Linked DNA regions of Callithrix jacchus. The protein of the gene in region 3 interacts with the protein of the main gene of each other region in a pairwise test. Links are inferred from orthologs where the notes say so. Each region holds a gene or a part of one and is shown on either strand. Other genes may lie near its edges.

Region 1 (4,271 bases), about 5.8 Mb from region 3:
AAGCATTTACTCAATGTAGCTGAAAAGATCAGGAGGATGACATTAATAAATAAAAATCCATATATAATAAAAAATGATGTGCAAAGAATTATTTCATTGTGAAGCCCAATACTACAAAACTTTATAATTCATTACAAACCTTTATTAAAAAAAAAAAAAAAAAAAAGGCTTGGGGCATGCCTGGGCAGAGATTTCCAGACTGAGCAGCCTGAGATGTCAGTAATTGCAGCTGCTCCAAGCCTGGCTCCTATTTTTTAGTGGGATTTATTTTCAGATTAACAATCCATCCTCTGCAATTTTTCAAAGCAAAACTGCACATGTTTCAGGCACATAAAGGAGGCAAAGATGAAGTCCAAGGGAGGTCAGAGGTATGGGGTAGACGGGAGCAGATAGACACGTTACTCATTTCTGTGTCTGGCAGAAGCACCAGTAGACACTTCCAGAATTATCCTTTATTTATGTCATTTCCATAAACTGTCTGCAAATGAGGGTTATTGGGTATTTTTGTCATTCTGGAGCCACAGAAATAAAGGGTGACAAGCACAGAGCCTTGGGCAGGAGGCAAAAGTCCTGTGTTCCCACCATAGTCATTTCTTTGCTGCATAATCTGAGTCAGGTCACTAAACTCTTCTGAGCCTCAGTTTCCCCAGCAGTGTATATGGGCCCTGTGGGGAGTATTTAGGAGACAGACAACTCACTCATCAAATCCTCTGCTTCCTAGCCAACAAAGCTGCAATCACAGAGTTCTTCTGTTGAGGTGAGTGTACGGTGTACGGAGATTGGTTCAATGTCCAATTCCTCCTCGGTTTTCTGATAGTGTCTCCAATTCCCTCCTTCCCGGAAGCATGTGACAATCAACATCTTTGTATACTTAAGTTCAGTGGACCTTCAGTTGCCTCATCTGTGAAATAAAGGGGACTGAAAAATCATTCTGGCCTCAAGATGTTTTGTTGGGGTGTCTAGGTGCCTCAGGTGTGTCTGGGAGAGGTGACCTAATGAGGGATCAATGGGAATAGAGGTGGTATCGTGGGGCTTTTCTGGAAATTGCAGAGAGGCGCATCGTTTTTATTATTTATGGATTTTTATTTACGACTGTCATCCTCCTGATCTTTTCAGCTGCATTGGGTAAATCCTTGCCTGCCATAGTGGGTCAGCGGTGGGCCAGAAAGGGGGCTCATTCGAACAGCGCCCTCCTGGGGAGTGCCAAGTCATTCTCCAACTAAAAAAGGCCAAATTTGAGGCTCACTTTGTGGGAAAAATGTGTCCAGTGTACCGACGCACGTTAGAGACAACGGGAGGAGGGAAGCGCCCTCCTGCAGCACGCGAGGTTCCGGGACCGTCTGGGGCTGCTGGAACTCTGCCAGGCTCAGCTGGCTCGGCGCTGGGCAGCCAGGGCCCCGGGCCTGGGGGAGGGCCGTCCAGGGGCGGCGCGGTAGGACGAGCGCGGGTCCCGCCCCTCCTGGGGGTAGGTTATATTTGCGCCCGCAGAGCGGCACCAGTTGAGGTGTGAGCAGCTGCGGGAGTCAGTTCCTTGTGGGGTCAGAGCTGAGCGCGGATTCGCCGAGGCACCGAGGCACTCAGAGGAGGTGAGGGAGCGGCGGCAGCCAACAGGGGACCCCAGGCCGCCGGCCCAGAGCCGAGCCGAGCGAGCCTGCCTGTGTCCGTGGGTGTCGCGGGGATGCGTGTCCGCGGGTGTGCGCTGCGTTCACAGGTGTTTCTGAGGCAGGTGAATGACGGGCGTGGGTCTGTGCCTGCTCGGCTTCCGCATACGGTGTCTGTAAAGTGCTCGGGTGACGGGGATCGGGATGTGCCGGAGACTCCGGGCGGAGAGCGGGATTACAAGTACAGGGATCCCGGGCCACGCTCCCCGCCCCTAGAAACCCAGCTGGGGCGAGGGAGGGCGTAGACGGGGCCGCTCTGGGAGCTCGCCTTCCGCAGCGGTGGGCTCCAAGCCCCAGGTGCAGTTTGCTCCTGGCGTGGGAATGAAGTCCGTGTCCCTGGAGGGGTCCAGGAGGGGCGAGGAAAGCGGAGTGGAGTAAGTTCGTCTGGGATCGGTCCCGGGCGGTTTTCGGAACCAAGCGGCGCCGCCCTGGCTCACGTCCCGGGGTTCAGGTCCTCTACGCCACTGTGTCCACCACCTGGCTGGGCGCTGAGGTAAGTGCGAGCAGTTTCCTGGCCCTTGGGAATGTGCCAGGACACGTCCCCTAAGGACAAGCGAGGAGCTGACTCATTGTGACAAGGAGACCCCAGGGAACGGACTGTATAAGGTCAGAACTTCGCCCGGGCTGGGGTACAGTGGGAACCCAGAAGCCCCCTCCCTGTCCCTTCAGGTCTCGCCCTCCCATCAGCACAGTGACCAATTTGGCTGGCACAGCGTGTTCCCAGGGAAGCCGGGCACTGGAGGTCCAGGTCGCCGCGTCTGATCCCCGCTCCGCGGCGCGCCCTAGGGGCCGGGGAGTCAACGCCCTGCGCTGGGCGGGCTCTAACCAGCCTGTCAGTCGAGGAAGGGCAGGGGTCTTCTCTACCTCTTTACCACCGCGGCCGGGAGAACCACGGCCCAGCTTGTCCTCGAGTCGGGGCGCTGGACTCCCGGGCAAGAGCGGAGCCTACGCCTGAGTGGGAGGTGGGGAGAGATCCTGTCTTTGCGGCGTTGGTGGCGTTTCTGGGGGGCACGACACTGCTCAGGGCCTCCATCAGCTGCCGCGGGGGCTCGGGGTGCCCCGACCTAGCCCAGATTCCCTCTCCGAAAGCGACAAGACTGAGCGGAGCAGCGGGGTGAGCGCCGCCGCCGGGCGCGGACCACGGCACGTCCTCTCAGTCCGGAATCCCCGGGGGACACTTGCGCCCTCTTAGTGCAGAAAAACATCTAGGGGATGGGTTTGGAACTTGGGGCGCCTAGACAGCTTCCCGTCTCCTTCCCTCGCTCCACGTCGTGTTTTTGGGAGAACTTCCGAGAGATTTTGTTTTCGTTGCTCCCGTCTATTTTTATTTTCCAGGGATCTGACTCATCCCGTGCTTTGGGCGTGGAGATAAGGTGGAGGGGCCAGCTCTCGGCGCGCGCGCGCGTGTGTGTGTGTGTGTGTGCGCGCCCGCGCGCCCGTGTGTCTGTGTCAGAGACGGCGCAGGAGCGCGCGGTTTCGCAACAGCGGCGGGAGTTTTGGAAGCCTGGCCTGCCCAGCGTGACGTGTTCGCGGCCCTCCGGTCCCCTCCCATTCTCCCTCTCCCCACCCCAGTGTGACGCGCAGCCGGAGTGGAAGCGGAGTTTTGGCGGGGGCGGGCAGCGCCTTGCGGGAAACTGACTCATCGCTACTCCCCCGCTGTCCAATGCTCTGCCCACGTACCTCCCACCCCGCGCGTGATTTCCTGGAGGCCGGCGCCCCCTCCCGGCCCTGGTGAGAATGGCACACCCGCTTTCCCGCGGAGTGGGGCTGGCAGGCGGGAACCACCGCGGGTACTCCGGGCTCATCTGAGATCAACCCCTATGCCATTCACCGCTCCTTCAAAGGAACACTCCTTAGGTTCAACAGTATTTATTGAGCTCTTACTGGAAATTAAAGTATGACTGAAGTCTAAGGCAGGAAGGCCAACAAAGGAGGCTATTCTCAGTTATTTGTAGAACAAGGGTTTGCGTTTCTGAGTTTTCTTTGGGCTGAAAGTTATGACAATGCGCCTGAGAGCAGATTTAGATGGGGGAGGAGAGGCCTATGAGAGCCCTAAGGGAAGGGGTGGTAGAAGAGGAAAGGGTGCCTGCCTAGATCCTAGTCTTATCCTGAGCTCCTGAGAGCCAGGGAATATCCTTGATGGAGCCCTTCCTTGTGCCTCTGATGTATTGAGACCCAGAATGTCCATTTCAAACACACCAGTGTCCCCCTTGTCTGATACCCCAAGAGTGCCCATCTGAGGAACTGTGCTGAACACTTGCTTAAATCTTCAAACACCTACTTAAATCTTCAATCTGGATTAAGTTGGTCTCAAGAGGCAGGGCCTTGAAAAAGCTCCCTAAGTGATTTTTTTTTTTTTTTGAGACAGGGTCTCACTCTGTTACCCAGGCTGGAGTGCAATGGCACCATCCTAGACTCAAGCAATCTTCCTGTTTCAGCCTTTCAAGAAGCTGGGACCATAGTCGTGAGCCCCCATGCCCAGCTAATTTTTTTTTTTTTTTTTTGAGACAGAATCTCACTCTGTCACCCAGGCTGGAGTGCAGTGGCGTGATCTCAGCTCATTGCAACCTCCACCTCTTGGGTTCAAGCAATTCTCCTGCCTCAGCCTCC
Region 2 (4,182 bases), on a different chromosome or scaffold from region 3:
AATTAAAAACAGCAACAACAACAACAAAAAACCAATTGAGGACCCATTACCTACAATGAACTGTGGAAACCACCCAAGTGGACTTACTTGCTTAAGCTATTGAAGCTCTTCAACAAGAAGGTATTCCTACTCTACATCTGTAAATGTCAATTACTGTTAACGAATCAATATTGGAATCCAAAACTTTCTGAAATGATCCAAGGTTGGGAATCAAACGACGGTCTCTAAAAGTCCACAACTCACAATTTTTCAATAGGAAAAATGAGATCTTAAATTCTCATTTACTTATGTTTATAGTTGGCATTTTACACTACAAGCACCATAGATAATCCCTCCAACAACTCTGCAAGACCAATTTTACAGAAAAGCAGGTGATTCATCAAAGCATATGATGTTTTTCAAGAAGCCTTAAGTCAATTTAATTTCAACTCCAGGGGTGTAAAAAGGGTCCGAAACAAATGTCTATTTACCTTGATGACAATCTGGGAGGGAGGGGGGTTTGTCGTTTCCACATCAAAATGACAGTAACCCTGGTGCAAAGTGGTCTTCCTTCTTGGGGATTCCTGCCTCACCACTCCAAGTCTCAGCATATCCTTCACTCTCACCTTTCTGAAGTGACCTATTTTCTAGAACTTCCGTTAACATCTGAATAGAGGGATTCCACTTCGGGAGATTCGAGGCAGGGGAGGGGCAATACATTCGGGAAAGACTAAATTCTAGAGAAAGAAACGAAGTCCTTCCCCCTGACACCAGCAGGCATACATATGACCAGCACCGCCAGGTGGAGGTATGCGGAGAGATGAGAGGGCGACCGAGGCCAGACGCCCCACGCAGCCTTCCTCCTATCCAGGGCGAGCCTCCGATTCCCTTGCAGGGAGACCAAGGATGGGGGAAGGGCCATAACCCGGAGTTGATGGACAGGAAGGGAAAGACTGACTGCCATCACTTCCGCGCAACTCACCTCAGCTCCCGTGCCCACACAGCCGCGCCGGGCCTGTCCCCAGCCTGTGGGGATAGGGTGGGGCGCAGGGCCAGCAGGCGGCTCACAAGGAGCCGAAGCGCCGCCGCCGCCGCCCAGACCCGGAGGCTCCGGAGGCTCTGGAGCCTTCGGGTCTGGACCCCGCGGCCGCGCGACGTGATGACGCAATGCAGCGTGAGGACCGCCCTCCTCCCGCCGCAGAGTCCGCGTCACGTGATGAGGCGGTGTCACGTGACCTGCCTTATCGGGGGCGGGACTTCTGTAAACTGCTATGAAGCCGAATTAGAAAAAGGTCAGGTGGCCGGGGCGCGGTGGCTCACCCCTGTAATCCCGGCACTTTTGGGAGGCTGAGGCGAGCGGATTACCTGAGCTCAGGAGTTCCAGACCCGCCTGGGCAACACAGCAAAACCCCGTCTCCACCAAAAAATTTAAAAAAAAATTTAGTCCGGCGTGGTGGCCTGCGCCTGTAGTCCCAGCTACTCCGGAGGCTGAGGCAGGAGAATCCCTTGAACCCAGGCAGCAGAGGTTGCCGTGGGCCAGGATCGCCACTGTTATTCACGTCTAATAATACCGAAAATTAAATGCATTTAATATAGAGATTTTCCAAACAGGCTTTGTGTGGGCAACAAGGACATTTTATTTCTCGCTTGGGTGCAAGCGGACCGAATCTGAGAAAGGCGAAGAGAGTAAGGGTGGGAATTGGTTCTATAAGTTGGGGTAATTTTGGGGGGCGAGGGTGTTGCAGAGTAAGATCAGTTACAGTGGTCGGGGGTAGTGGCAAGGAGTATACATGACCACAAGTTCAGTTACAATGGCGGGTTGAGTAAGGCGGAAGAGCAGTTAAGATGGCAGGATGGGGCAAGGAGCATTCACATTATCATAAGAGCAGTTAAGATGGCAGGATGGGGTGAGAGGTATCCACATTTAACATAAGAACAGTTAAGATGGCAGGGTGGGGTGAGGGGCTTGTCCGGGGAAGCTCTGCTGGGCGATTAGGGACAATGGCCAACGCAGGCGGTGGGGTGGGAGACAATTAGCAGAGGCAGGCAGCAGGCAGGACTTCAGACGTTCTGGTTCCAGGCTTGCATATGGAGACCTGACAGCCACTGCACTCCAGCCTGGGCCACAGAATGAGACCCTGTCGGGGGCGGGGGGGGAGGCGGGGGGGGCGGGGGGAGGGCTGGCATAGTGGTCAGTCCTGTAATCCCAGAGGCCAAGGCAGGTGGATCACTGGAGGTCAGGAGTTCGAGACCAGCCTGGCCAACATGGTTAAACCCAGTTGCTACTAAAAATACAAAAACATTAGCCGGGCGTTCTGGTGTGCGAATGTAATCCCAACCACTCAGGAGGCTGAGGCAGCAGAACCACTGCACTCCAACCTGCGCGACAGAGTGAGACTCTCAAGAGAGAAAGAGAAAGAAAGAAAGGAAGGAGGGAGCGAGAGAGAGAAAGATAGAAGAAAGGAAAGATGGAAGGAAGGACGGACGGTTGGGTGGTGTGGGGTCCGCAGGAAGCCTGGGAATATAGCTCTACAGCTTGGCGATTGAATGAGCCTGAGACCCTCCCCACCGCTCAGGAGGCAGAGCAGACGGAGAGAATTCTAAGGCTTAATATGCTAAACATCTGAATGCAGGAAGTGCGTTTTACCTTCCAGGTACTGAGGAACTTTTTGCTATCGAGAAAACCCACGGAGGCCTCAAATTTCTTCCCTTCCATTGTCCACAATGACCTCTTGGGGCCGAACAACGCTGCGCAAGAATCCTCTGAGCCCTGCGATCCACAGACCTCGTATATACTTTGCGTCATAATGGGGCTTATCATCACCACTAAGGTGATTTTACTTCTTTCACTCCAAGACAATTAAGTGAAAGGAACTTGTGGCCACTACAAGGTGGACATTAAGAGGGAAATTGGAAAGAATCTTCTTAGGGAAATCTTAGACAGCCTTATCACCACTGTTACTCCCCTGCTGACATTTCACCAGGCTATGGTTGCTGAAGGTTAATTTAAGAAAGTTCGCTTCTAACTGATTTTGGTGCAGTTAGTGTCTGAAAAGGCAAAGAGGTTAATTGGTTCAACTTATCTGAATGTCTAGACAACAAATTGGTAATACTATTTTCTTCTGTGAGCCCCCTTTTTCTTTCTTTTTTTGAGATGGAGTCTCACTCTGTTGCCCAGGCTGGAATGCTGTGACATGATCTCAGCTCACTGCAACCTCTGCCTCCCGGGATCAAGCGATTCTCCGGCCTCAGCCCCGCCCCGCCAGGAACTGGGACTACAGGCACGCACTATCACGCCCAGCTAATTTTTGTATTTTTAGTAGAGACTGCGTTTTGCAATGTTGGCCAGGCTGCTCTTGAACTGCTGACCTCGTGATCCACCCTCCTCAGCCTCCCAAAGTGCTCGGATTACAGGGATGAGCCACAGCGCCCAGCCCTTTCATTCTTAAGGATACTAAAACCATAGCCAAGTGGGCAGCATTCTAAATTTACATTGCATCTCCATCTTCCATGTCGTGTTTTCCTTGTCTAAAACTGTCCCTGACTTCCACATTGTAGAGAAGAATGCAAGATTGTTATAAAATTTATTGGGGGCATTTTGGAAATATTTGTCAATTTTAATAAAATTATTCACATGCACATGTAAGACTACATATGTAAAAGATATGTACTACATATGTACAAACTGCAGCATTGTTTGTAGATTAGATTGACAACAACGTTAAATGTCCATTAGTAGGGGACCAATTCAATGAAATATAGTACATCCATAAAATCCAATACCATGAAGCTGTGAACAATCTGTATTCTCTATTATTGGGTAAAAAGGTGGAAGATCACGCCTGTAATCACGGCACTTTGGGAGGCTGAGGCGGGCGGATCACCTGAGGTCAGGAGTTTGAGACCAGCCTGACCGACATGGAGAAACCCCGTCTCTACTAAAAGTACAAAAGTAGCAGGGCATGGTGGCACACGCCTATAATCCCAGCTACTTGGGAGACTGAGGCAGGAGAATCGCTTGAACCCAGGAGGCAAAGGTTGTGGTGAGCCAAGATCATGCCATTGCACTCCATCCTGGGCAACAAGAGGGAAACTCATCCCCCCCACAAAAAATAAAACGTAGAAGATATATTCATATTTGCTTGTGTGTGTAAACTGTATTTGGAAAGACAAAATAAAGTGGTAACATTGGTTTCTTTGGGG
Region 3 (2,503 bases):
AAGGTTTCCATTCTCTGCAGTTGTCATTTTTCTTTTCTAAACTGACATTCTGTATTCTGGATCTGATGTATTCCAAAAGGTGGTTGAGGGTTTTGTGTTCTAAATCTGCTTTCTGCCCTTCAGCGTCGTATGTCTCGTGGGGTGAATCCCTCCTTGGTGAGCTGGCTGACCACTATGATGGGACTGAGGCTTCAGGTGGTACTGGAGCACATGCCCGTAGGCCCTGATGCCATTCTCAGATATGTTCGCAGAGTCGGTGATCCCCCCCAGGTAAGGGACCTGATGGGCTATGGGGTTAGGGGACTTGAGAGAACTGGAGAGATCTGAGAGGAAGTATGTTGTTCTCCTTTAATTTCTCAGCCACTTCCTGAGGAGCCAATGGAAGTTCAGGGAGCAGAAAGAGCTTCCCCTGAGCCTCAGGTACTAGGCAGAGGGAGTGATTGAGGGGCCAGATAATGTGGAGTGGAGGCCTGGGGGAGAAAGGTTTGGAGGCTAAGAATTCTGAAGCCTGGCTCTTCCCGCCACCTGCCTTCCAGCGGGAGAATGCTTCCCCAGCCCCTGGAACAACAGCAGAAGAGGTCATGTCCCGAGGTCCACCTCCTGCTCCTGAGGGGGGCTCCCGAGATGAACAGGATGGAGCTTCAGCTGAGACAGAACCTTGGGCAGCTGCAGTCCCCCCAGTAAGTGTCAGGAAGTGATCCAGTGGGTCATGGCAGCTGAAAGTCATGGGCACTACTACTTTCTAATCTTTTCCTCCCCAGGAATGGGTCCCTATTATCCAGCAGGATATTCAGAGCCAGCGGAAGGTGAAACCGCAGCCCCCTCTGAGTGATGCCTACCTCAGTGGTATGCCTGCCAAGAGACGCAAGGTTTGTTTTCCTCCTCCCCAAGCCTCTCTTTGTCCAGGTTTTCCTGTCATGCCTGGAATCAGACTATTTAGAGCTGGTAGGAGCTGCTTCTTACTCAGTCTCCCCTCATTTAATGAGGCAACTTTTCTGGGATTCGGACTTGCTCTTGGTTGTTGGATAACCATATAGGACTTTACCTTAGTGTTTGCTAGCCATCCTGTTAGTTCCTCAGCTGCCTAATCCTCATGTGCCTAGATCCCATTTTCCTTTAAGGTGGGTTTCCTCTTGTGGATTACCTAAACTCTGAATCCCATATGGCTTGACCCCTTCTGCCTCTCGTTTTGAAGAGCACATTCACTTCGGTTTTGGCTAGAGCCAGAGAATTAGGAAGGCATTTCAGCTGTAAAGACCACATCCTGGACTATGTTTCCCCTCTCTCCACTAGCATGGAGACTCAGTGGTTGACTCATGGAAAGGGTGAGCCGATGGTGGCACTGGATCTGACGTTGATCCTCTTTTCCCTCCCAACCCCTATCCCCCAGACAATGCAGGGTGAGGGCCCCCAGCTGCTTCTCTCAGAGGCTGTGAGCCGGGCAGCTAAGGCAGCCGGAGCTCGGCCCCTGACGAGCCCCGAGAGCCTGAGCCGGGACCTGGAGGCACCAGAGGTTCAGGAGAGCTACAGGCAGCAGGTGCCCCCACCTTGAAGCAGAATAGGGATGGTCTAGTGGGAGGGGTTGGGCTAGGGTCCCTCTCCCCTGGATCCCTTCAGTTTTGAAATGGTCAGCCTGGGGCTACCACTTGTTTTCCCCTTTGGCATCTATCTGGGAAGGCTTGGCGATGCCACCCCGGGCTATTTGACAGTGTGCTTGGTGGGGGAAATGTTAGCTTCTGAGGGATGGCCTTGTATGCTTGCTGGGATCATAGGGACTTGGCTAGTGCTTCTCCAACCTGCTTGCTTTTTTTCTCTAGCTCCGGTCTGATATACAAAAACGACTGCAGGAAGACCCCAACTACAGTCCCCAGCGCTTCCCCAATGCCCACCGGGCCTTTGCTGATGATCCTTAGCTCTTTGCTCTGTTGCCCTTTCTCACCAGGAGACCGTTTCCCCCCTCTTCCTTCACAGTATTTAAGAAATAAAAGTCGGGTTTTTCTGGCTGCTTTCTCTCTTAAGTCGCCTGCTGATTAAGAGTGTAAGTCCCTTAATCTTGAGTGAACTTGTTTTTCAAATTAATACTCCCTTGGAGTACCAGAAAGCCTGTAGTATCTCCGCATGAGCATAACAGACACTACGTTCTGTGCACCTAGCATTTGATACTAAGATTTTTGTGCAAAAGCACTTTAAACAAAAGACCTGTACTTTTAGTTGGGAGCATATGCTAGGTGCACACTAGGGTAGAGCTCTCAAATTATCCAGCAAAGTTTCTGAGCAGCTGCAGACCTAAATATAATCTTAGCATAACTAGCATGCAGTGTTACCATGTGAAATCTCAGTTTAACAATGCTGGAACTGGTCTATACAATTCAAAGAGCCTCTTATTAATGTGCTCCAACACGGAGGCCTTAACAGAGACTTCCCCTTAGTTCATCATAAAGGACCAAAGTCCCATGACTGCAAATTCTTTGCTAGTCCCTTTGAGATACTACAGCTGATGTCC
Region 4 (2,300 bases), on a different chromosome or scaffold from region 3:
ATGCATAGTTTGTGCATGTTTTCTCCTGGCATTTTTGACAACATAGGTGAACCTAGAGGAGGTTAAGTTAAATAAGCCAAGCACCGAAGGACAAGTACTACATGACCTCACTCATATATGGAATCTGGAAAAGTTGACCTCATAGAAGTAGAGAGTAGAATAGTGATTACCAGCAGGAGAGAGAGTAGGAAGGTCGATGGGGGAGGTTAGTCAATGGGTACAAAGTTACAGTTAGCTAGGAGGAATAAATTCTGGTATTCTATTGCACAGTATGTTGATTAGAGTCAATAATAATGTATCATATACTTCAAAATAGCTAGAACATAGGATTGAATATTCTCATTACAAAGAAATGACAAGTGTTTGAGGTGATGGATATGATAATTACCCTTTGATAATTATACAGTGTATGTATGTATCAAAACATCAACACAGTACCCCATAAATATCTACAATTATTATGTATCAATTAAAACCAAAATAAAGCTTTAAAAATGTTACATAGGCAGTAAAAAATGTTATATTTTATTAATTGCTAGACAAGTGTGGGAAAACAAGTAAGCAATTGACACCGCCAAATTCTTATTACATTTGAGATGAAAGATTTATTCACACCACAAAAGAAAGATAATCACAACAAAATATACACTAATTTAAAAAATGAAAGATCATAATGACATAAAATGTTATTTTTTAAGTGTGTAAAAGTATTTTGTTTGCTTCTACATAAATTTCTATTCATAAAAGAATAACAAACATTAAAATACAGTGACAGTTTATATTTCTTCTATAGAATGAACATAGATATAACCCTGAAGCTTTTAGTTTACAGGGAGTTTCTATGACAAACTAAACTAATGATCAAACACATTAGTTATTTCCAGATTCACATAGATACACATTCACCCACTAAACTGAGAAATAAGCATTTCATATTCCCTTTCATTTTGCTATAAAGCATCTTTTCTTTCTACTAAAAGAAAAGTGAGAAATTGTATTTTTTCTTGTTTTAATTGACCTCAGAAGATGCACTATCTAATTCATGGGAAATGCGAAATTTCAGGTGTTTATCTTCTTCCGTACTTTTAGGATCTACAACGAGCAGATCTTCCTGGCTGTGAAATTCATGGCTGTGGAACTCACGGCTGACTTTGGAAACTTCCTGACTATCAATCACATCTGAATGCTCATTGCTCTCATCACTGGCTTTCCGCTTATGTAATCTGGACTGCTCGTGGCTGTGGGTTTCCGCACTTTGGTCATCCAGCTGACTCATTTCATGACTGTCCTTCCCATGGCTGTCCCAATCAGAAGGCACGTTCAGGCTCTGGGCAACAGGGATGGCCTTGTATGCACCATTCAACTCCTCGCTTTCCACGTGTGAGGTGATGTCCTCCTCGGTAGCATCAGGGTACTGAATCACAGCACAAATGAAGAAGAATTATATGAACAGCTAGGGATGGGAATATGGTAATCCTTTTCTGCTCTCTAACATTTAGGCCATCTTGTACTAAAAATTGTCTAAATCTTCCTGAAATAATATTAGCATGTTACTTTGTATAGTACTTTACCAAGCCCTTTCACATATGTTATCTCCTTTAGTTTAATAAGTACATCACTTACTTATGTAATGAAACCTATGAGATAGGTTTGATTATATCTGTTTCACATAAAGAGGAAGTGAATTGGAAGTTAAAAAGTAAAGAGAATAGTAAATGGCAAGTCTATGTCAAATCCAGATTCTCTGACTAAGGATTCAGTGTAATTTGCAACTCTACAATTCCTCTTAGTTATTTAACTTGAAAACATGACCATTATATTTTTAAAATAATTAGTGTTTTCCATTTTTTTAAATCTAAAAGTAAGTGATTCAGGATTTGAAAAAATAGAATTGTGTTTGGGAATCCAATCTAGAGAGGAATTATGTAGACTTACAAAAACCACCAAATAGAAAAAGATTTGTATTCATTGATCATGAAGTAGAATATGAATGAATTCTTGCTGAATGGATGAATGAATGGACAAATGAATGAATGAATATGCAAACTATGGTTTCCTAGACTTGAGCTCTAGTCAGAACCATCAGATATGTCTTTTAAAGGATTTACCTGGATGTCAGATCTGCGAAATTTCTTGGATTTTGATCTCAGTCCATAACCCACACTATCACCTCGGCCATCATATGTGTCTATTGTGGGGACAGGTGGAGTGAAAACTTCAGTTGCTGGCAGGTCCGTGGGAAAATCAGTGACCAGTTCATCGGATTCATCAGAATGGTGAGATTCATCAGACTGGTGAGA
Region 5 (4,021 bases), on a different chromosome or scaffold from region 3:
GGAGAAAGAGTCTTGTTTATTTTTGACACCATAGTAATTGCAGGACCACCAGTTCTAGACGTCCATTTTTTAGATGTCTCTAGTTTTTGAATTTGCAAACAAAGGAGAACTTCTTCTCACAAGATTCATCCTTCCATTTCTTGAATCCTACAGTACAATTAGAAGAGTCAGAATGAGAAGATCAGAAGGAGGGTAGCCCCTCTTCGACCTAGGACTCAGAACAAGAAACAAGAGGAAACATTCCCTTATTTTCTGGATGGAAATAAATTTTTCCTCTATCCCAGTCCCCATGTTCAACTGCAGAGATAAGTGGGAGGGAAATGGCAACAAGGGGATAGACTCTCTGCCTCTTACCTGAACGTGAAGTCAGGCTTGCACAGTAGCCAGCATTAGCGCTGCTTGGGGCTCCAGTTTCCCAGGATTTGTAAGAGACCAGGGACCCACTGCTCCAGTGCCAGCGGCGGTTCTAGATTGAGAAGGGCCAGAAAAGGGACCATGGTCACTGGAAAATCAATAGAACAACCAGGCCTCTCTGCACACTCAGAAACAGGCCAAAGTACAGGGGAAAGAATGAACATTATTATCACTATGAATACCATATTATTCCATTTGCTTTTGCTTTAAGTTTCTCTTTCTCTGGAATGTCCAAATTCCTCCTCCTCTTCCAGCAAACAATAAGTGTCCAGAGTTTGATACACAGACTCATAAAAGTCCCAGAGAGTAGTTCCTGATTTTTCCCCGAAGCTCAGAACTGTCATATCCAGCATAAAATTGGCTGTACAGTAGCTGTTGATATATTATTTACTTTAACAGTATAGTTCCAAATGTCAGCAATAGATTCTCTTCCACTACTCTTTCTCTGTGGTAGTTTTCAGAGGGGTCTCTTCCAAGAAAGACAATAGCAAAGTAGGGAAAAAGTTGTACATAAAGATGCATTTCTAGAAGTAGACAGAGTGAGTTTGTGCATGAATTCCCATGAGCCCAGAAAGTTCAACTTTCGACTCATGTCTCTAACTATCTACACTGAACCTCACAACTCATACATTATAGGAGCTATAAAGACGTTCCTTTTATTAAAACAAACAAACAAAATAGATACAAGTTGGCGCTCGTGGTGCCAGACCTTAAATATCCCTCTTACCTCTCAAAAATGTTTATAAGGAGACAGAGGAGACTGCAGACTGACCTTTTTGGGGTCATGAAGGCCAATCCAGACACTGTTGTCATCAGTGCTACTCTCCTTAATCAGTGAGGCCACGAAGGCACCTTCCGCCTGGGTGAGCACAGACACCAGGTTGCCTGAATGCATGTTCTGGCAGTAGAGCTGGAGAAGAAAATGTAGCACTCAGTGGAGGAGGAAGGTATGAAGGATGTACTGAGACCTCCCAGAGGTTGTAACAGAAAAGGACATCACAGAAACGTCCCTGATGATGCTGTCACTGACCACCAGCATCTCTGTGCTGGAAATGTGTCAAATGATGGGCTAAAGTAGATTGGGGAAGTTTTGGACCAGTGGTGGAATAGGGAAGGGATCAGTCTTATCTCATTGCAGCCACTGAACGCACTGTAAACTAGCAGCTGCCTCTACCTTCATGAGCCTCCCTTCCCACACTGCTCTCCTCACTTACATCTGCATCGACCCAGGTCTCAAGGTCTTCATTAAAGTAGTAGCAGTAGGACCCATAGGCATTGGTGCCTTCTGGGCAGCTGATTCGGGCTTTAGGCAGCTCTGTCTGGGCCTCCTGGCCTGCGGGGGGAAAAAGTGTCAATTAAAGACTCTCAGCTCAAGGAAAGGCTGAAAGGTGAATTAAGAGCTTCTGAAGTTCATTTATAAGAATATACTGATACAGTGTATCCTGGGGTGACTGCTCACTTCTGCCCTCCTGCATCTTATCTCTTTTCGCTCTAGTTTCCTTTGCTCAAGAGAAGAGCACACAATAAATAGGTTAAATAAATATTTCCTTGTTTTCTTTTTTATTTCTGAGGCTCAGGCTTCTGCCTTTAAAGACTCAGGCTTTCACCTCTCTCAAGTTTCTCTTGGTTTCCCTGCATGCAATATTTACCTTAGCTCTCCATCCTATCAATATCTACATAAAAACATCCCCCAAACTGCCATCACATATATATTCAATCAGATGAACTCAACCACAAGGGTCACCTGTAAGTGATCCTATCAAATTCTGTCTCAGACACATGAATGAAATGAGGGTGTTTTTGAATGGGATGAGATCAGCGATAACGATCACTGGACAACAGAAACAACCCCTGATGCTGACACTGCTATTTTTCAAGTGAACCCATATGCATGAGGATGGAAGGCAGACTTCAGGGCTGGTATGAGAGGTGTGAGGGAAAATCTCACCTTGGCTCAGAGACAGGATCATCAGGCAGGAGATCAGCATGAAGCATGTGTTGGTCTGAGCCATGCTGAGCAGCAGTGAGTCTCTTGCTTAAGGACCAAATCAGCAATCTCTATAGGAGAACACAGGGAAGAGAGTTTGAAGAAGAAAGCAGAGCACCTATTATCTTTCTAACACCCTCTCCTCTCTGAATTCCTGAGAGTAGGAAGGTCCTCTGAGATAGCTACAGTCACAGTTATTTCTCTTTTGGTTTGGGGATTATACAGGCCAAATTACCCAAGATCAGCTTTGGGTAATTTGCTTAAGCTTCATTACTACTGGGATACAGAAAATCACCCTGTATCTACCTCAAAATGGAAACAGAAAAACCCATATTACACATGCCCTTCTCTAATGACCGCTTACCTATTGGTAAGTGTCTTGTCTACTTGAGGTGGCTTGTCAGGCCAGGCAGTGTAGGAGCTTTATATCAGGATCTGAGAGAGAACCCCGTGATATTAACTATGGGTGGAGCAAGGAGTAAGGGTCAGAAGGCCTACAGAGGGCACTTATGGTAAGAGATTCTGGCATCAGGAATAGCTTATTTCTGGCATACACTAGGAGTAGTCACAAGTGACATCAGCTTACCATAAAGAGGTTGGCAAACTGTCCAGGTTGATGTCAGGCTTTGTTTGCCCTTCCTCCATAGCATCCAGGTGTCCAGTTCCCATGGCCTTTAGTAGTCCTAGAAAGAACAGAAGAGTAGATTTCTTTGTGCTGTATAAATATGGGATCCTTTTTTTTTTTTTTTGGTTTTAGACATGGGTAAGGATAGGGGAAGAGTCAACCGAGTCCAAATGATTAAGCCCAATTAGCTGGTGGCTTTAAGTCATTTCTCCATTCATTTTCAGGCTCAGGAATCTCTCAAGACCTCCTTCAGAAGATAAGGTATATTAGTCCATTTTCACACTGCTATAAAGATACTACCAGAGACTGGGTAACTCAAAAAGAAAAGAGGTTTAATTGACTCACAGATTTTGCTGAGGTTTGGGAGGCCTCAGGAGACTTATAATCATCGATGTGAAAGGGAAGTAAAGCAGGTCTTACATGGCAGCAGATGAGCAAGAGAGAGTGAATGGGGAAGAGCCCCTTATAAAACTATCAGATCTTGTGAGAACACACTCACTAGCATGAGAACAGCATGGGGGAAACTACCTCCATGATCCAATAGCCTCTCACTAGGTTCCTTCCTCCACACATGGGGATTATAAGGATTATAATTTGAAATGAGATTTGGGTGGGGACACAGAACCACACCATATTACAATGGTTAGTAGTTACATAAATTTAAACCAGCATTTCCAGCAAGGTTTGAGCATGACTAACTAGCATGATACCAATGTTCTCAAAGTCCAAGCAGGTGGGAACTGCAGGGAGCTGATACCTAAGTAAGTTCAAAGCAGTGGAATATAAAGTTGTTGCTTTGAAGTCAACTCTCTGTTGTTGTGAAGTTACAGCAGGTGATGTAGAATTAAATGCTTACCGAAATTCCCATTAAATATCCATTCAGATTCAGGGAATAAGAGCAAATCTGGAATTAAAAATTCAGTTGAAAAACTAACCAAAATGTTCACAGAAACAGAGATGGTTATATCAATTGGGATAAATGGCTAAATAACATA
Region 6 (3,961 bases), on a different chromosome or scaffold from region 3:
GAATGTTGAGTGAATAAAAAAATAAATGCACGATTGGGCCAGAGCTGACCTCAGAAATCATCCTGCGCTGGGTGATGCTACTGTTTCTACTGCTTAATTTTCTTTCTAAAAAAAAAAAAAATTTTTTTTTTTTTTTGAGAGGGAGTCTTGCTTGCTCTGTTGCCCAGGCTGGAGTGCAGTGGCTGGATCTCAGCTCACTGCCACCTCCGCCTCCTGGGTTCAAGCGATTCTCCTGCCTCGGGCTCCTGAGTAGCTGGGATTACGGGTGAGCGCTGACACGCCCGGGTAATTTTTGTATTTTTAGTAAAGACAGGGTTTCATCATATCGGCCAGCCTGGTCTCGAACTCATGACCTAGTGATCCGCCCACCTCGGCCTCCGACAGGCGTGAGCCACCGCGCCCGGCCTCTACTGCTTAATTTTGGAAGCGGGGTTAGGTTTCCTGCCTCCTCCTCCCTCCAAAGGCGCCTGGGCATAAAACATCTTGGAAAGCAAGGCCGCACCCCACAGACCTCAGCCTCTGTCTGACCCCCGGGTCCCGGTGAGGCACAGCCGGTAGCCGAGTCCCCGGTCTGCAGGCGTTTCGCAGCGCTGATGGAACGCCTGCCGGGTGTCAGGCGCTACTGCGGGTGCGAACACCCCTTGGCCGCGCGGCTGGCCTTACAGTGCACGGGGTGGGAATCAGTGCCGCGGGGCAGGAGGGCGGCAGAGAAGACCCCGTGAGCTGACATTTGAGCAAAGGCCTGGAAGAAAGCCACGTGGGCGTCGGGGGAGGGGCACCGGGCGGGGTAGGGGGACTAGGCCGGTGCAGACGCCCGGAGCGGAGAGAGCGCCTGGAGAGCCCCGGGAGCAGTGGGGACAGGGGTCTGCAGTACCGTGAGGGGAGAGGACGATAAGGTAGGGAAGCTCCGAAGGAAAGGAGGGCCTTGGCAGGATTGAATGGCGAGGAGGGCTTCGCTCCTCGTCTCTTCCGCCGGGGCTTGGCCCCGCCCCTCCAGAACCCCGCCCCTCCAGAACCCCGCCCCCGCTCGGAGCCCCGCCCATCGGCCGGGCCTAGTTTGTCTCTCAGCGGCCACCGTCGCCCCGCCCGCCGCCCGCCGAGTGCGCAGCATTACGCCGCGCCCGCGTCCCGCCCCACGTGCCGTGCGTGCCGTGCGTGAGCGTGCGTGGGCGCGTCGGCCGGCGAGGGAGCCGCAAACGGCCGGCGGCGGGCGCCGCGCAGGGGGCGGGCGGCACGGAGTAGGCGGCGGCGGCCATGGCCGAGGCGTCGCCGCAGCCCGGACGGTACTTCTGCCACTGCTGCTCCGTGGAGATCGTCCCGCGCCTGCCGGTGAGGCCCGGGCCGGGGCGGCGGGCGGTAGGGTCTGTGCCGCAGGCCTGAGGCAAGGCCCGGGCCGGGGTGGAGGTCGCCGGTGCCCGCTCCTCGCGCGAGGTGGCCACGACGGGGAAACTGAGGGTGGGGACAGCGCCGGCCCAGGGTGGATCCGCGGGGAGCCCGGGCGGTGCGGGCGCGAACCCCGTCCTGCACATGCGGGAAACTGAGGCCCGGAAGGGGGGAGGCGGGGCCTGGCCGGGGCGGCGCAGCTGGGTCGGGTGATCCCACATCCTCTGCCTTCTCGATCCGAGAGGCCGCGGGGACCCCAGGTGGGAACGCTCCTCCGAACCCCGTGAGCCTGGTTCTGTAAAACGGAGAAAGTGAGGCCCGGCGAGCAGAGGGTATTGCCCAGGGGCGCGGTGCGGGCCACGGGCCGGGCCTGGCGGGGCGCAGACCCCGAGAATAACGCCAGGGGACCCCCGCCGAGCGCGCAGTCCGGGGCGCCCTAGGCTCGCCTCGTGGGGCCCTGGCCGCCGCCTGGGAGTCAGGCCCAGGCCCGGAAGGCTCCAGGCACCGTCCCGGGCTCCGACCGCGGCCCTCCGGCAGGGCTTTGTGACCCGAGCCTGCGTTCTTCCCTTCCCGGGGCTGGGTTGAGCAGCCCACCCTTTCTCGAAGTGTTTACAGCCACCCTTGGCTCAAGGGGACCCCGGGCCTGGGTGTTCCGAGTGTTACTTCCTGCTTATTTAGGGCGATGTTTCCCACGCGGACCTGATGTCACCTTGGGGGCAGGTGGGAGCGGTGCTCGTGGAACGTGCTATTTCCAGGCCCCTTCTCCGGGGTTTCGGAGTCAGCAGGTCTGGAACGGGCTCGGCAGTTGGCGTTCCTATTACTATTTTTAGGGACAGGGTCTCACTGTGTGGCCCAGGCTGGTCTTGAACTCCTGGGCTCAAGTGATCCCCCTGCCTCCCAACGCGCTGGGATTACAGGTGTGAGCCACCGTGCCCGGCGGTGGTCTGCATTTGTGACCAGTGTTTCCCTTTCTCAGGCTAATGTGGAAAGTGGTGATTTCTTTGAGCCACGCCTGCAGATGGGGAAACTGAGGTCCGTGGTGGCTCAGCAGAAAAGGCAGAGCCTGCTCAGTCGGGAGCTGCCAACTTGAGGGGAGCAGGTGCAAGAGGTGGAGCCGTGTCTGGACTCCCTACCCTGTGCCCACGGGAAGAGGCTGCAGGCGTTGAGGATTTTCTGTGCTCTCTCTGTGCATTACCACCCGGCTGTTGCTACGGTTTGACCCATTAGAGGCGCCCAAGCCCTCCAGAAGCAGTAGCGTTCCTTGGGAGCAGAGACCCCGGAAGGGGCTGGAGGGAGTCAGGAGAAGCAGCTTTCTTGGTCACGGAGGAGGAACCAGTGCTAGAGTTGGGGCATGACGGGAGAGCAGTGACACAGGCCAGGAGTGGAGAGAGTAGAGAGGTGTGGCTTCCTCTCTGCTGAAGCCACAGGGCTTCCCCTCCCCAGCAGGAGGAACAAATCAAGTAAAATCCTGGGTGTGGGGCGAAGATTAGGGAGCTGAGGCTGAGCCTTGTCTTGCTGCTGTGCCTCTCAGGGTTCTCACTCCTGCCCCTTCCTGTTTCCTGTGCCCCCTGGCCGTGGCAGAAGGGGTTGGTTGGCTGACAGACTGCCTGCCAGGGTGAGTTGTAGGGCAGCCCCTGACAGCTGTGTGAGCCCTGGGACAGGTCCTGGGAAGCCTGGAGTTGTGGCTGTTGGAGGTGGCTAGCCCTGACCTGTTGATACTTGGCTGCTCTGGGAGCCTGCACAGGGCTGGATCCTGGTGTGGTGGAGCCACTTCCTGGCCCTGTGGCCTCGGACAAGGAGGACCCTGACCTCTTCCGATTGTCACTGGGCCTGGGGAGGACCTTCTTTTAGTCATGGAAACTCAGTGGTGTCTGGTAGTCCTGGTCTTGGCTCTCACGGAATTTATAGGCTGGCCGGGGAGCCAGCATTGAACCGCGGCTGACAAATATTTGGTCATGAACGTTGGTAAACAAGTGCAGGGAGCGGGTGTGTGGGTGAGGGGAGTGCCTGTCTTCACCCTGCAGTGATCCCGAGGGCACCTGCTCGTGCCTTTGGAGCAGGACGTAACATGGTGCCAGTAGACAGTGTGGCGGTGTCAGGACTTCATTGTACAGGGCAAGACTCTGTCCCTACAAGACATAAAAACAAGTGGTGGGTGTCTTGTTGCACGCCTGGAGCCCCAGCCACTGTCGGGGCTGAGGTGGGAGGAGCGCTTGAGTCTGGGAGGTGGAGGCCGCATGGAGCTGTGACGGTGCCACCGCACTCCAGCCTGAGTGACGAGCAAGACGCTGTCTCAAAAAGAAACAAAAACGGATTTTCTGTGCTGGGAGTTGGGCGCACCTGTTCTGGGGCAGGAAGGCTGCTCCAAATCTGGTGATGGGGAAAGTCCCCAGCCACCACCAGCACCCTCGAAATGGGCGTCTCTGCCGGTGGTGAGCTTGCCCCGAGGCTGAGTCTGAGGTGGCGCCACTGCTGCTGAAACACCTAGGCTGGTGTCAGGAAGCCCCTACGGGCCTCTGACCCGGAGGCCTGCCGGGGCTGAATGCCTGTGTGTGGTGGCTTCTCCCAGGCAGCTGGG
Region 7 (4,078 bases), on a different chromosome or scaffold from region 3:
TTGTTTTTAAAGATGCTACATTATATCTTTTATAAAATAATTTGATTCTCAAAATATGTAACATTTTCTGTTATCCTGAGGAATAAAGCAGAATCGTAAATGCTAAACAAATTATTAATCATAAAAACTAAATATTTAAACAAACGAATGGAATTTTATTAAGTGCCCTCTATGGGATTCAACATAGGACTATGAGACTTTTGAGGCCTCTTATTAACTGTAAGACTGTAACAGCTCCCACCTTCAAGGCTGAGCACCCATTCAGAGGGAGAGAGAGAAAGAGAGAGAGAGAGAGGAGGGAGGGAGAAGAGGGGAGAGGGAAAGGGAGAGACAGGGAAAGGGAGAGAGAGAGTGAAAAGGAGAAAGAGGGAAAGGGAGAGGGAGAGGGAGGGGGAGGGAGAGAGGAGCGGGGAAGAGAGAGAGAGGGAGAGAGACAGAGAGAGAGGGTATGCAAATCCATCTCTTTATTAAACAGGCATGATCCAGATCCTGTATTTCAGCCCACACAATATTTTATTTCACTTTCCTACATGTGCTTTCACAATAGTAAAATAAAGATTTATAGGAATGTTTACCATAAAGAGCCTTTAACAGGGCCACTTGTTTTTCAATTGAGGAATCTGACAAGAGACGAATTGTCATTAACTACATGTTCCACTGATGGTGCGATGAATTCAAGGAAACAATATTTCTATCCCAAGACAAATCTACCCTCACCTCAGAGAATGCTATAAAATCCTGTTCCACATGCATTGGATCATTCGCAGTACTGTCTCCCGGAGGTCCGTGCCTTCCCTTTGTCAGTTTGGATCTTTAGTCAAGGGAGCGCTTCACTCGAATAGAGTGAGGCTTGCGAACCAGATCCTTCCCTCCCTCGAATAGAGTGAGGCTTGCGAACCAGATCCTTCCCTCCCTCCGCGGGCCCGTGCGTGCCTTGGCGCGGTGCGGGCCAGTGTCGCGCCTGGGGAATTACACCACTCTTGGGGTGGAAGTCTCTACTCAGAGAGAGAGACCCTAGGGTACCCCGGGAAGGAGTGAGCAGACAGGGCGGGCTGCCTAAGAGATCTAGGGACGGTCGCCCATCTCACCAGCATCCCGTTTGCCCATTAATCCAAAGAACTGCTGAGGCTTGGGTCTCCGGGCGATTCTCTGCAGAATATGCTCAAAGGGCTCCGGCAGTTCCTCCTGGGGGACAGAAGCACGGACAAAGGGCGTGTAAGGCAACCGGAGCGAGGCGCCCAGCAAACCGAGCCCTTCCCGCGGTACTCCGGCCCCGAGGCGGGGGGAGGCAGCCTTCCCCACGCTCGGGCTGAGCGGGGTCCCTCCCGAGGCGCTCCCTCTCTGTGCCCCTCCTCTCCGAACTCGCGTCCTGCTCCCCCAAGCCTGCCAGGCCGAATTAGCAGCTGGCGCTGCGTCTTCAAGCCTCGAGCGCTTTCCGCTCTTTCCTCCCAGCCTGGGGTCCTGCGCTCATTTGCCGCGCAGCCACCGACTCCGTCTTGTGTCGGTGCCGGCTTTGGAGAGTCCTAAGCGCCCTAAATGCACACAGGTGTGTGTGATCTGTGGTTGGGGCTGCGGTGGGGAAGGGTGATGACGCTTTACAGACGTCTTTCACAGTTTTCCCGAGGCGCGCTCCCCAGCGCCAGTAGCTACAAGTTTCTAAACGGAAACTTGAAGCTACGTCCTCAGGTTCGCAAAACAAATGCGAAGGCAGGAAATTAACTTCCCTCCCGCCTCCGGCCCTCCAATGCCCCTGCAGCTCGCGCGTGTGCCCGCTGCTGCCCGCGACCAAGGCGCCCTCCTCTTCCCTTGCCCAGGGCAGCGCAGTTGGACCTAAGCCCCCGAAATCCCCTTTCCTAGGGGTTGAAACCTCATGAGATTTCCTGCCTAGTGAGGATCTCGGGCTCATCCGGGAAGGCATCCCTGCTTCAGGGAGTTTCTGGGCCGGATGGTGCAGCCCTCGGGAAGAAACTTGAATCGTGGGCGCAAAACCCCACGAGGAACCCGGCAAATAGCGCCCCTTTCCATCCTCCCGCACGCATCCGTTGCCTCTCATCGCGGTTGCGGGGCCTGCCAGGCTAACTAGGGTACTGTTGCGTGGGAAGGTGACAGCTCCGGAGCTCAAGGAGAAGGCTGTGGGCCGTCCTAGGAAGGGGCCTCACCTTGATCTGGTCGCTGTCGGACCAGTCGGACCAGTAATTCAGATCATCATTGGCTCCTATTTCTTCTGCAAACAGCTGAGTGGAGACGAGAAAAAAGACTGCCAAGGCCACGAGGATTCTCATGTTGGATATCTGGGAAGGGGTAGGGTGAAGAGACCAAAGAGAGAAAAAATGTATATATTAGGGGTGGTTATCCGAGACTTAGGGCAGCAGAATTTTCTGCCCCACAACGGATGAGCCAAGATCAAAAGCATAAGGACTAAAGTCTCGCCTGTACCCGTTAGGCAAGATAATCGTGCCCCAAAGATTCTCCAACCTTCTTCTCCCTGAAACCCAACTCCCCCAGCCCCCAAACCCACCAACCCACACCTTCAAACCGGGAGGCTCTGCAGGTGGAAGACAAAGAGGGGCGTTGGCGTTTGGGAAGCCAGTCTCCCCACTGCCCCTCGCAGCAGCGCGCACCCAGAGCGGCCACCTCGGACAGATGTGCGGCGGGGTGAGCCCGGCAACCGTGGCCGGCACAGCGCGGGCACTTACTACAACGGACAGTCCCGCGGGACTCAGGGTTCCTCCGAGCGCACGCTGGTCGCTCCGCACTCTAGGTGGCTGCAGCCGGAAAGGAGGAGGTCCAAGCGCGCTCTTTTGCCTGCTCAGTGCCTTGCGGTATTTATCCCAGGCTCCTCGAGCCTCCAGACCCACGTGACACTCTCCCCACGCGACTTTCTGCTCAATATTTAATTAGCCGCCTCCTCTCCTTTTGCTTGCGTGATTGAGAGTTTCCGAGACAGTAACTCGTCGATGCCCATAACATCTGGACCCAATTGGGTTCTAAATGACGCAATTTTAGGAAAATCGAGGTCTCGCCATCCAATCCAGAGCGGCCTGCTTCCGTCTGCAGATCTGATACCCCCTCCCCTTTCCTTCCGAACTGGTTTCAAGACACCTGAGATTACTCATCAAGTTTGAGCAAAGTGACTCATTCCTTGGACTTCCGTAACTTTTCCGTCCCTTTAGACGTCAGGATAAGTTGCACTTTTGAGGGTGGCCAGATAACTGTAGGCATTAAGACATTTCTTAAAAATCAGGCTAGGAAAGGACTTCAGTGGAGGGGAGATAGGGGAGGCATTATTTTCCCCTCTATTGCTAGTTAAGAATATGTGTTTCTGAGACACAGCATCTTTCTATGACCAGAACATCCCTCTCCCAAATCAACGTGAATTTCCTTCGCATTTCAAAAGGATGTTTAGTCTCACAGTATTCTAGAAGATGGAAGCAGATTGATTTTACATTTTGGAGAAAGGGGAATTTAAACATGGCATCGTGGGTATGATTTATTTCGTTCCAAGCTGGCTAAGTCTTCTTCCTTGCCACATCCAGGAGCAGGGGCTGGAACAGGACATTTTTTTTTTTTTTCTGCTTCTCTCCTACACTTTCTTAATGAAGACTAGGAAACCAGCAATATAGTGTATAGGATCCTCACTCTTGTCACTAAAGGGCTCTACAAATCATATGTTTCTCCTTTCTATGAAAGTAAGAGTAGTGAAGATGCTAACGGGGCCATCATTAACAGCATGAAATTATTAGACAAATAGCATTTGTACAGAAACCACAGCTTTCCATGAGCTTGTGGGTGCCTGGCAGACACTGATCTCTAAATGAATTAGATGATGTGGCATCTTTGGTGGCGTTATTTTCTTCCCTTTACTTGTAAAGTATTATACTTTTCAATTATGATTTTTTTAGTAAATTGCATAAAGAAAATAAATTTTTGTAACTCAAGTAACTTTATTCTCTGATATATGTTGTTCTTTCTTAAATAACCCTGAATTTGGAAATTCTCATGCATTTCTCATTTCTTTAGGCCTTAGCCTCACAATGTGAGCATTTTAGTTTTTATTTTCAAAACTTTTTATATGGAA

What was found.
Region 1: the proteins of BAG6 (region 3) and CDKN1A interact in a two-hybrid assay, tested with the Homo sapiens proteins (2 studies listed by BioGRID and IntAct). The link is inferred for Callithrix jacchus from reciprocal best matches to the Homo sapiens genes BAG6 and CDKN1A.
Region 2: the proteins of BAG6 (region 3) and KLHL12 interact in binary tests that used the Homo sapiens proteins (3 or more experiments, as listed by UniProt). The two-hybrid records come from large-scale screens. The link is inferred for Callithrix jacchus from reciprocal best matches to the Homo sapiens genes BAG6 and KLHL12.
Region 4: the proteins of BAG6 (region 3) and SPP1 interact in binary tests that used the Homo sapiens proteins (3 or more experiments, as listed by UniProt). The link is inferred for Callithrix jacchus from reciprocal best matches to the Homo sapiens genes BAG6 and SPP1.
Region 5: the proteins of BAG6 (region 3) and REG1B interact in a two-hybrid assay, tested with the Homo sapiens proteins (2 studies listed by BioGRID and IntAct). The link is inferred for Callithrix jacchus from reciprocal best matches to the Homo sapiens genes BAG6 and REG1B.
Region 6: the proteins of BAG6 (region 3) and RNF126 interact in binary tests that used the Homo sapiens proteins (3 or more experiments, as listed by UniProt). The link is inferred for Callithrix jacchus from reciprocal best matches to the Homo sapiens genes BAG6 and RNF126.
Region 7: the proteins of BAG6 (region 3) and TAC1 interact in a two-hybrid assay, tested with the Homo sapiens proteins (2 studies listed by BioGRID and IntAct). The link is inferred for Callithrix jacchus from reciprocal best matches to the Homo sapiens genes BAG6 and TAC1.

Annotation. Positions count from the first base shown.
Region 1 is NC_133505.1:44,980,705-44,984,975, forward strand, and holds the start of CDKN1A (cyclin-dependent kinase inhibitor 1), read left to right. Parts: upstream 1-1,471; 5' UTR 1,472-1,586; intron 1,587-1,726; exon of another isoform or gene 1,727-3,392; intron 3,393-4,271. UniProt on the Homo sapiens protein: Plays an important role in controlling cell cycle progression and DNA damage-induced G2 arrest. Involved in p53/TP53 mediated inhibition of cellular proliferation in response to DNA damage.
Region 2 is NC_133520.1:29,968,763-29,972,944, forward strand, and holds the start of KLHL12 (kelch-like protein 12), read right to left. Parts: upstream 2,801-4,182; coding exon 2,627-2,800; intron 1,151-2,626; exon of another isoform or gene 591-1,150; coding exon of another isoform or gene 471-590; intron 1-470. Other genes in the region: transcription and mRNA export factor ENY2-like, read left to right, coding at 2,787-2,810. UniProt on the Homo sapiens protein: Substrate-specific adapter of a BCR (BTB-CUL3-RBX1) E3 ubiquitin ligase complex that acts as a negative regulator of Wnt signaling pathway and ER-Golgi transport.
Region 3 is NC_133505.1:39,139,988-39,142,490, reverse strand, and holds the end of BAG6 (large proline-rich protein BAG6), read left to right. Parts: intron 1-123; coding exon 124-270; intron 271-360; coding exon 361-420; intron 421-536; coding exon 537-680; intron 681-761; coding exon 762-869; intron 870-1,390; coding exon 1,391-1,537; intron 1,538-1,817; coding exon 1,818-1,913; 3' UTR 1,914-2,003; downstream 2,004-2,503. UniProt on the Homo sapiens protein: ATP-independent molecular chaperone preventing the aggregation of misfolded and hydrophobic patches-containing proteins.
Region 4 is NC_133504.1:109,664,866-109,667,165, forward strand, and holds the end of SPP1 (osteopontin), read right to left. Parts: coding exon 2,109-2,300; intron 1,415-2,108; coding exon 1,010-1,414; 3' UTR 501-1,009; downstream 1-500. UniProt on the Homo sapiens protein: Major non-collagenous bone protein that binds tightly to hydroxyapatite. Appears to form an integral part of the mineralized matrix. Probably important to cell-matrix interaction.
Region 5 is NC_133515.1:34,054,084-34,058,104, reverse strand, and holds the start of REG1B (lithostathine-1-beta), read right to left. Parts: upstream 2,801-4,021; 5' UTR 2,766-2,800; intron 2,473-2,765; 5' UTR 2,427-2,472; coding exon 2,363-2,426; intron 1,748-2,362; coding exon 1,629-1,747; intron 1,325-1,628; coding exon 1,187-1,324; intron 467-1,186; coding exon 355-466; intron 148-354; coding exon 80-147; 3' UTR 1-79. UniProt on the Homo sapiens protein: Might act as an inhibitor of spontaneous calcium carbonate precipitation. May be associated with neuronal sprouting in brain, and with brain and pancreas regeneration.
Region 6 is NC_133523.1:625,004-628,964, reverse strand, and holds the start of RNF126 (E3 ubiquitin-protein ligase RNF126), read left to right. Parts: upstream 1-1,161; 5' UTR 1,162-1,254; coding exon 1,255-1,329; intron 1,330-3,961. UniProt on the Homo sapiens protein: E3 ubiquitin-protein ligase that mediates ubiquitination oF target proteins. Depending on the associated E2 ligase, mediates 'Lys-27'-, 'Lys-29'-, 'Lys-48'- and/or 'Lys-63'-linked polyubiquitination of substrates.
Region 7 is NC_133512.1:51,899,510-51,903,587, forward strand, and holds the start of TAC1 (protachykinin-1), read right to left. Parts: upstream 2,801-4,078; 5' UTR 2,529-2,800; intron 2,292-2,528; 5' UTR 2,283-2,291; coding exon 2,160-2,282; intron 1,186-2,159; coding exon 1,089-1,185; intron 621-1,088; coding exon 576-620; intron 1-575. UniProt on the Homo sapiens protein: Tachykinins are active peptides which excite neurons, evoke behavioral responses, are potent vasodilators and secretagogues, and contract (directly or indirectly) many smooth muscles.